3 linked regions of the Kluyveromyces lactis genome follow. The protein of the gene in region 1 purifies or fractionates together with the protein of each later gene. This does not show direct contact. Links are inferred from orthologs where the notes say so. Each region holds a gene or a part of one and is shown in the gene's direction. Other genes may lie near its edges.

Region 1 (2,984 bases):
AAAATACACTCAAGCGACCAGATTGGATACTACTCACCAGTCATAACCTTTCCCAAGCTGCATGGGGTCCCAGCCCACTAAAAAAACCTACCAATTACGAATGCGGTATTCTATACACGACAACCATGGGGAGAAACAAAGTACGGTTAACACTAGCAAGTGCCCAACAACCGCCAGGAAGAACAATTGGGTCAAGGGTACCCGAAGACATAACTGTTCTGCCCACAGTAAAAGTGGTGACGCCGTATCCATTGAAATTTCAGCGTTACTCAGCAACTGACGAACCTTATACCTCTGTCGTTCAATGATGATATACACAATAATACCATCTAACAACATTCTAAGGCGCTGACATCTGTCAGCGCTTTACGTTACCCGGATTATTTAGGTATCACACCGGAATAACAGAAAAATTGACAATGTCCGCATCATTCCCACGCATCACGTGCCCCCACCCTTTTCCGTCGTTTGAACACCTATACACCTCATCGCCTCCATCAATCTCATCTGCTATGTCGTATTCTCCCGTCGCCAAAACAGGTTTTTTCAGCAGATTTGTGATGGCGCACTTACTATGCGCTAGCATATCTATGAGATAAATACAACGGTATAGCAACCCGCGAATCGCTCGACCCGTACAGTCGAAACGAATAAAAAAAAGCTTATGCAGCGCATATATATTCCTTTAAAGGATTTTGATTTCACCAATATATAAAGAAATATAAGAGGGTCATTTCAGCACCAGGGAAGTTGTTAGTTCTTTAGAGTCGTTATTCCTTTATTCATTGTATTATCTTCTGTTTTGTGTTTCATTTTTTATACTTTATGGATCTGTAATTCAATACTTGTTTAATCTTACTTTATAATTTCTTAAAGGTTTTATAAATCTTACTACAGATTCTCATCCAATCCCACTCAATTAGCGGTTCCCTGAGGCTAACGTCTATTTGTTGAATAGGTCAAAGAACGAGTTTTTATTTTTTTTCAGTGAAAAAATAATATCAAATTCAAGAAATTATAAAAAAGAATTCAGTTGAAAAGGATCCTTTTTAGTTATAGAATTGACAATTGACTATCTAATTTGTCTGTCTTATAACAAACGCATCTCAACAACTTCTGTCTGTTTGTTTATTGCTTCGTTTTTGTTTTCGAATTATCAAAACATTATTTCTTCTACCTTTAAAAGAAAAAGAAAAACGAAAAGATATCAAACTCTAGTATAATATTCATTCTCCTTTGGTTCAGTAAACGTTTTACAAGCGAAGACAATTTTAAAGGTTAAGAAGAATTACACGTAGTGAAACGAAACGTTAGTACCCGATTGATAAAAACTTTCAACTGGCAAAATTATTAAATACTAATACAACATGATGATGCTTTCTAACACTTTTAAGAGGGCTGTTCCTTCTGTGGTTCAATCCATGAGATTTGCTTCTACCAAGACCATGACCGTCAGAGAAGCTTTGAATTCTGCCATGGCCGAAGAAATGGACCGTGATGATGATGTTTTCATCATTGGTGAAGAAGTTGCTCAATATAATGGTGCTTACAAGGTTACCAAGGGTTTATTGGACCGTTTCGGTGAAAGAAGAGTTGTTGACACTCCAATTACCGAAATGGGTTTCACTGGTTTGGCTGTTGGTGCCGCTTTGAAGGGTTTAAAGCCAATTGTTGAATTCATGTCTTTCAACTTCTCCATGCAAGCTATGGATCAAGTCATTAACTCCGCTGCTAAGACTTACTATATGTCCGGTGGTACTCAGAAATGTCAAATCGTTTTCAGAGGTCCAAACGGTTCTGCTGTCGGTGTTGCTGCTCAACATTCCCAAGATTATTCTGCTTGGTACGGTTCTGTTCCAGGTATGAAGGTTTTGGTTCCATACTCTGCTGAAGATGCTAGAGGTTTGTTGAAGGCTGCCATTCGTGATCCAAACCCAGTTGTTTTCTTGGAAAACGAATTGTTATACGGTCAATCTTTCGAAGTCTCTGAAGAATCTCTGTCTACTGATTTCACTTTGCCATACAAAGCAAAGGTTGAAAGAGAAGGTTCTGATATCTCTATCATCAGTTACACCAGAAATGTTCAATTCTCTTTGGAAGCTGCTGAAATTTTGTCTAAGCAATACGGTGTTTCTGCTGAAGTTATCAATTTGAGAGCCATTAGACCTTTGGATGTTGAAGCTATCATCAACACTGTCAAGAAGACCAACCACTTGATTACTGTTGAATCTACTTTCCCAGCTTTCGGTGTTGGTGCTGAAATTATCGCTCAAATTATGGAATCTGAAGCCTTCGATTATTTGGATGCTCCAATTCAAAGAGTTACTGGTGCTGAAGTCCCAACTCCTTATGCTAAGGAATTAGAAGATTTTGCTTTCCCAGACCCTGACACCATTGTCAGAGCTGCTAAAAGTGTTTTGTCTATTGAATGATTGCACCGTGCACTCTTTCTTTACTGACAGTTATGCACCTCTGTTGGCCTCCGTTTTTTATCAAAACAAAAGAGAATATTCATTGGATAAGGAATAGTGCATGATGGTTCATTCGCATTCGGTTTTTCTTATGATTGTACTCCTTTGTTGCAATAAACTAAGTTATGAATTGATTTACAAACTTCAAAGAAAAATAGAAAAATTAAAACATATTATATTATTAAGATATGAATACCAAGTTCAGTTAATACACGATTTTGGATTAGGAAATAGAATGAGATAGAGTTGCCTGTCGTTGAATTATTCGCTGGTAAAGGTAAGTTGATGAATTAGAGATTTTACAATTTTTTTTCATGTATGTTGCCCATCAGTAATGATGAAGAAAAGTTTTCATCACTAGAGATGGGAACAATAAGGTATTTGGGGACAACTGCGGTTGTTATGAGATTAAACTGTATATATATATTCTGCCGTTAAAACAAGACGCTGTGCGCTACTTTCTGTACAACTTGTCGTTATTTCCATCAAGGTATTGTCTTTTACACTTTCTAA
Region 2 (3,205 bases), on another chromosome or scaffold:
CCAACGGTGCCAAATCATTACATGGGTATGATCTGTTATTGTAACGGATCTCTGGCAAGAGAAAAGATAAGAGACGATATCAATGGAGAATCACAAACACATGATTGGACTAAATTTAACGAGGCATTGCTGGATAACTCATTATCTAACGATAATGAAATTGGATTATATTTCCCATTAGGCGAAATTGTTCCAAACATGGATGCTGTCACTAAAAGATGTTATTTCAAGTACATAGACAATAAAGTCGTATTGACAAATGTCAATATGTTCCCTGATAAGAGACTTGATGCAAAGAACATTGTAGAATCACAAGCGCTAAGTTGCAGAGTGAGAATTTCCCCGTTGTTATCCGAAGAGGCCAATGCGATCAACGAAACACAAGTGCTAAAATCAGAATTAAAGGTGAAGTTCGACTATGATTTCTTCCCCTTAGCGTCTTACGCCAAGAGACCTAATAGAGCCTTTTTCGTCGGTGGTGCATCAAAGAACGAAGCCATCATCAAAACGATGGCTAATGTCATTGGAGCCAAGAATGGTAACTACAGACTAGAAACTGCAAATTCGTGTGCTCTAGGCGGTTGCTACAAGGCGCTATGGTCCTTGCTCAAGGAGCAAAACCCCGAAACCCCATCGTTCGACCGATGGTTGAACGCATTCTTTAACTGGGAAAGAGATTGTGAGTTTGTTTGTAACTCGGACGCTGCCAAATGGGAAAACTACAACAACAAGATTCGAACTCTAAGTGAGATTGAAAGAGAAGCGTCATCACACTAAATCAAAAACGCTGTTAGATGAACCTCCAATTGACCGTGACGCATCAATAGCCATGATGCAAGTAAGTAAGTAAGTAAGTAAGTAGGCAATCAATCTTTGTACACATGATGAACCTCTCAAAGACATTACCCGGAAATCGTTATCCACTGTTTGTGAAAAAAAAAAAAAGTGTTATCCCACTAGAGACGACACAGTCCCCCACCCGACGGTTTTATACCGTTGAGATGAGACTATGGGAAAGGTTTAGAAATAAAGTATATATGTGAAAGATTGAATTGTCCAAGTACACAGAGCTTTGAACAAAGTTCAATTGAATACTTTTGTTGTCAATTGTTTCTGGGAGAAAGACGATTTTATCGACAATCTATTGGTAGAAAAAACGAAGTCTGTAAATTGGAAACCTATATTCGTCATTCAGCGAAAGAAGGTGGTAATTAAAAGTATCATTTACAATAGATAAGGACGACACAGATCAGAAAAGAAGCAAAACCATCCTTTGTTAGGCCTGTACGGAAGATATAGGAGAGAGACTGTAGTGTGTTTGTTGAAAAAACCTGTATTCAATAATGTTCCGTTTAGCAATTAAAAACAGGGCGTGTCTCCGTCAATTACACCAATGTAGAACTATGTTGAAGGCCCAAGCCTTTGGGATGCCTGCCATGTCACCAACCATGGAAAGGGGCGGTGTCGTTGATTGGAAGTTCAAAGCTGGTGATACTTTCTCTGCCGGTGATGTGCTCTTGGAGGTTGAAACCGACAAGGCAACCATTGACGTGGAGGCACAAGATGACGGTAAGCTTGCCAAAATTTTGAAGGAGAACGGTGCCAAGGATATTCCTGTCGGGGAACCCATTGCATACATCGCTGATGTGGACGATGATTTGGCCACTTTGGAGTTCCCAAAGCCCGTTGAAGCCAAGAAAGAATCAAAGCCAGTTGAAACTAAAAAGGAGGAGGCCAAACCAGTGGAAAAAACTGACAAGAAGAAGCAAACCAGTGCTTCAAAAACACCTTCTAAGAACGGCAGTGTTCAGGCTAATGCATCTCAAACATTATTCCCATCTGTGCTATCACTACTAGAGGAAAACAATATTTCAACTGCAGATGCGTTGGACAAAATCAAGGCCACTGGTCCAAACGGTAGAATCTTAAAAGGTGATGTGCTAGCCTATTTGGGTAAGATTTCCCAAGATTCGTTGAACAAGGTAACCGAGTACATCAAATCCCATGAGAAATTGGATCTAACCAACATCGAATTAAGACCTGCTAGAGAAACTGCAGCAGCAGCAGCAGCAGCACAAGCTGCTAAACCCGCTAAACCATTACCTCTAGTACTAAGCGAACAGATCACACTCCATGTCCCAGAAAACGTCACTTACTCCCAACTATCTGCTGCGATAGCATCGTACGTCAAGGAATGTTCATTCTTGGCACACGACGAACCATTGACCAATGACGCATCCGAACTATACGACCCATTATTCGAAGAGTTACTAGTACAAGAACCAACAAAACCTCGTTTCAAGGTCACTTATAACATAGTAGACTTGGAACCTACACCAAGACACCGTACCTCTTCACCACAACCAGATATCTTTGATTTATTATCTGGTACAACAACGCAAGAACTACAACAAGAGGCATCCGCAGTATCCAAACAACAACAAACACGTCACGAATACGCGTTGAACGTTTCCGTCGCCGTTGACGAATCGTTAACGGATGCCAAGCAAAGAGCAGAAAATTTCGTTGCCCAACTATCTAACTTGGAATTGTTCCAATGAGTAAAATTACGACAAGACATAAAGAGGAAAAAAAAACTAGAAGAAGCCGAAGCCAAATCTTCTTCGAAATATTCATGCCCCGTCCGCAAGCTGTATAGACTGGACTTAAGAGCCGGCAGATATATATCTATATTATCAGTATAATAGACAAAAAAACGACAACTCAAGAATTCAACCAAACAGGCACTTCAGACTTCTTTATGGTCTTGGCACAGTAAAGAAGATCAAAAAGTAACATCAAAAATTACTGCATCATATTTTCGCAGAATACCAACCTGGCACCAGTGCCCTATTCAGACTAAGCAGCTTTCCATTCCAAAAATACCAGTAGCCTAACTAAGCGAGATGCAAGCGAAATGCGAGATGAAATGAAACCCAAATAAAAAAAAAAAGACACAAACAAACAGGAACAAAATTGCGCGTTTTTCCCCACAGAACAGCACGTAATGTGTACCGTTTTTTGTTTTTCGTTTCAAGTACAAAAAAAACAAAAAACGGTACGCTGTTCACGTGTCTGAAAAACCAGGAACCGTAAAAGGATATTCCGTTAGCCAACAAAAAAATAGGTAAAAAGGGAAAAAAAAATCCAAGGCACTGTATTCTGTATATGTTAACTCTGCAAATCCAAATTCAATCTAAATTGG
Region 3 (3,302 bases), about 420 kb from region 1:
TCCGCCTATCTCGTATCAAAAGAAATTGGAAAGTATCTTCCCACAGTGCAAATTCACCGTTGCGAAAAAGGCTGATTCTATTTACCCCATTGTAAGTGTTGCGAGTGTGGTAGCAAAAGTGACCAGAGATATCATCCTTTCACAATGCAAGAAAACCGAAGATGAAATCCTTGGGTCAGGGTATCCTGGTGACTCAAAAACCGTTCAATGGCTACGAAACGAGATGAAACCATTGATGGGATGGTCTCCCTACATGGTACGGTTCTCTTGGCAAACATGTGCCACGATGCTCGCAAATAGTAAATCTACCATCGAAATAGAATGGGAAGAAGACGCAATGACCAAGAAAAAAATGCAGTGGGCACCCGAACAGAAAAACAGACCTATTACACTTGATTCCTGGTACCAGTAAACCCTGACTCATTTCCATTTATCCTACTATCTATATATACAACGTATTATGAATTTATCTATTGACAGTCGCGACGCTGTCATCAGATTACGAAATAAGCTACCCGCATTCGAGATTTGCATTGCCTGGCACAATTGTGGCCACCGTTTAGGCCGCTGGCACTAGCCAAAAATTGACACTAGTAAACTCCCTACACCACATATTAATCGGTAAGTTACTCTACTCCATCAATTGTGAAAGCATTTATACAGCTCAAGAGCAGGTTTGGGATTGAGATAAATATCATCTCGAGAAATACCATTATATAAAGCTTTATAACTATCACGACGGAAACCCTTCTAGCAGCTATCAGTTTGCAGCGGATCACGGGCATGTTTCTGTTCATCCCACCTTCTATCCCGTCGCACCATTATAGTGTGGATATTTTGGATTTCGAAAATTCTGAAAACTGAAATTCTCAAGAAATAAAAGGAAAAAGGTTAGATGGGAGAACATTTATCTGTAAATAACATCGATTAGATTGCACAAGAGAAAAAAAAATGATTGTGATTCGCTAGTGCATTTGACGATACTATTGGAACACTGATTACACCTGTTGGTAATTGATCTCGCTTGAAAGAAGAAGATTGAAATAATACATCAAGCCTTTTCCTCCTTCATTTAGAACTGAGATATCAATATTTATTAAGGTTACATTTCACTACGAATTGGACACAGGAATTGACTGTACCAGAAGATAAAATCGGCTTACATTTGATATTCAATTGTATTAACCAAGTTACGGGAACGAATCAATTGTTTGTGTACATATATTAAGAAAAGAACTAGGAAAAATGTCTGCATTACTTTCTAGAGTTGCTCCAAGAATGAGCGTCTTGGCTTGTGCTGCCAGACTTCAATTGAGAACGTATGCTTCTTACCCACCATACACCATCATTGGTATGCCAGCTTTGTCTCCTACCATGGTTCAAGGTGGTTTGACGGAATGGAGTAAGAACGTTGGTGACAGGTTGGAGCCTGGTGATGTCCTTGCTGAAGTTGAAACTGATAAGGCTCAAATGGATTTCGAATTCCAAGAAGAAGGTTATTTGGCTAAGATCTTGGTTCCAGCTGGTACCAAGGATATCCCAGTGAACAAGCCACTTGCTGTTTACGTTGAGGAAGAATCTGACGTTCCAGCTTTCGCTAATTTCACTGCTGCAGACGCCGAATCTGCTACCGCTGCTAAGGAAGCTGCCAAGAATGGTGCTAAGCAACCTGCAAAGGAAGAATCCAAGGAAGAATCCAAGGAAGGTGCTAAACCAGCTTCTAAACCAGCTGCCAAGAAATCCTCTGGATCTTCTGCTTCTTCAGGTACTAGAATCTTTGCTTCTCCATTGGCCAAGAGCATCGCTTTGGAACATGGTGTTTCCTTGAAGGAAGTTGAAGGTACTGGTCCAAGAGGCAGAATCACTAAGGATGATGTTGAAGCCTTCTTGGCCTCGGCTCCATCTCGTGAATCCTCCGCTGCTAAGGCCGCTCCAGCCCTAGCTGCCCCAACTCCAGCATCCGCCACTTATGAAGATGTTCCAATCAGTAACATGAGACAAATCATCGGTGACCGTTTGTTGCAATCCACTCAAAATATTCCATCATACATTGTTTCCTCTCAAATTAGTGTTTCTAAGCTTTTGAAGTTGAGACAATCCTTGAACGCTACTGCTAAAGACCAATACAAGTTGTCCATCAATGACATCTTGATCAAGGCCATTGCTGTTGCTGCTCAGAGATGTCCAGATGCTAATGCTTACTGGATGCCAGAACAAGGTGTCATCAGAAAGTTCAAGAACGTTGACGTCTCTGTCGCTGTTGCTACCCCAACCGGTTTGTTGACTCCGATCGTCAAGAACGCCGAATCCAAGGGCCTTGTTTCCATTTCTAAGGAAATCAAGGACTTAGGTAAGCGTGCTAAGGATAATAAGTTGAAGCCAGAAGAATTCCAAGGTGGTACTATCTGTATCTCTAACTTGGGTATGAACCCTGCCGTTTCCATGTTCACCTCTATCATCAACCCACCACAATCTACCATCTTGGCTATCGGTACCGTTAACAAGGTCCCAGTCGAAGATGCTGGTTCCGAATTCGGCTTCACCTTTGACCAAAAGATGAATATCACTGGTACTTTCGATCACAGAACTATCGATGGTGCTAAGGGTGGTGAATTCATGAAGGAATTGAAGAAGGTTATTGAAAACCCATTGGAACTATTGTTATGAACAGATTCAGAACCTAACAAATCTAATGATCAAAAATAATAAAGTTAAGAATTTCAAAGTAAAGAAGAAAAAAGCCTACCCACCAACATTCCAAAACGAATTCTCCTAGTCGAAGTTTTTCGACCGTATGCCAATAGCCACGCTTTCCTTTTAACAACGTTGTAGGTCAGTTATGACTTATTCGACCCACAACCTTGCATGGAAAGAATTCGATTTAACATACTGCAACTATGTAAAAAATTACCATTTCTATAGATATAATGTAAGAAATTGAATATCTCATGTTTTTACCATTCCTCGCAATCGCTTTGCATAACAGCACTCTCTCCGATTTACTGTATATACTACTGAACTTATTCTCTCATAGCAGTCCCCAAGGTTCTTTTAATATTTTAGACCACGTGACTGTTTTTACATTGCCCGAAATACAGGAATAAAGTTGGAAAAAAAATGTTTACAAAAGAAGACAAGTTTGTGCTAACACTTTGACCAGGTAATGTATCTTAATTGCAGGCTCAGTTCCCTTGACCTCGTTGAACTTTAACCGTTAAGAGACAAACATTACCGAAAACAGATCCACCATGGCATTCTTACCATCATTTATTCTATCCGACGAATCCAAGGAACGTATTACT

The links.
Region 2: the proteins of PDB1 (region 1) and PDX1 purify together in Saccharomyces cerevisiae (affinity purification with mass spectrometry; 4 studies listed by BioGRID, with this or other methods). This does not show direct contact. The link is inferred for Kluyveromyces lactis from reciprocal best matches to the Saccharomyces cerevisiae genes PDB1 and PDX1.
Region 3: the proteins of PDB1 (region 1) and LAT1 purify together in Saccharomyces cerevisiae (affinity purification with mass spectrometry; 5 studies listed by BioGRID, with this or other methods). This does not show direct contact. The link is inferred for Kluyveromyces lactis from reciprocal best matches to the Saccharomyces cerevisiae genes PDB1 and LAT1.

The regions. Positions count from the first base shown.
Region 1 is NC_006042.1:882,226-885,209, reverse strand, and holds PDB1 (pyruvate dehydrogenase (acetyl-transferring) subunit E1 beta), read left to right. Parts: upstream 1-1,367; coding exon 1,368-2,432; downstream 2,433-2,984. Other genes in the region: TDP1 (tyrosyl-DNA phosphodiesterase 1), read left to right, coding at 1-308. UniProt on the Saccharomyces cerevisiae protein: The pyruvate dehydrogenase complex catalyzes the overall conversion of pyruvate to acetyl-CoA and CO(2).
Region 2 is NC_006041.1:864,261-867,465, forward strand, and holds PDX1 (Pdx1p), read left to right. Parts: upstream 1-1,343; coding exon 1,344-2,561; downstream 2,562-3,205. Other genes in the region: XKS1 (xylulokinase), read left to right, coding at 1-777. UniProt on the Saccharomyces cerevisiae protein: Required for anchoring dihydrolipoamide dehydrogenase (E3) to the dihydrolipoamide transacetylase (E2) core of the pyruvate dehydrogenase complexes of eukaryotes. This specific binding is essential for a functional PDH complex.
Region 3 is NC_006042.1:462,472-465,773, reverse strand, and holds LAT1 (dihydrolipoyllysine-residue acetyltransferase), read left to right. Parts: upstream 1-1,245; coding exon 1,246-2,667; downstream 2,668-3,302. Other genes in the region: ribonuclease H2 catalytic subunit RNH201, read left to right, coding at 1-412. UniProt on the Saccharomyces cerevisiae protein: The pyruvate dehydrogenase complex catalyzes the overall conversion of pyruvate to acetyl-CoA and CO(2).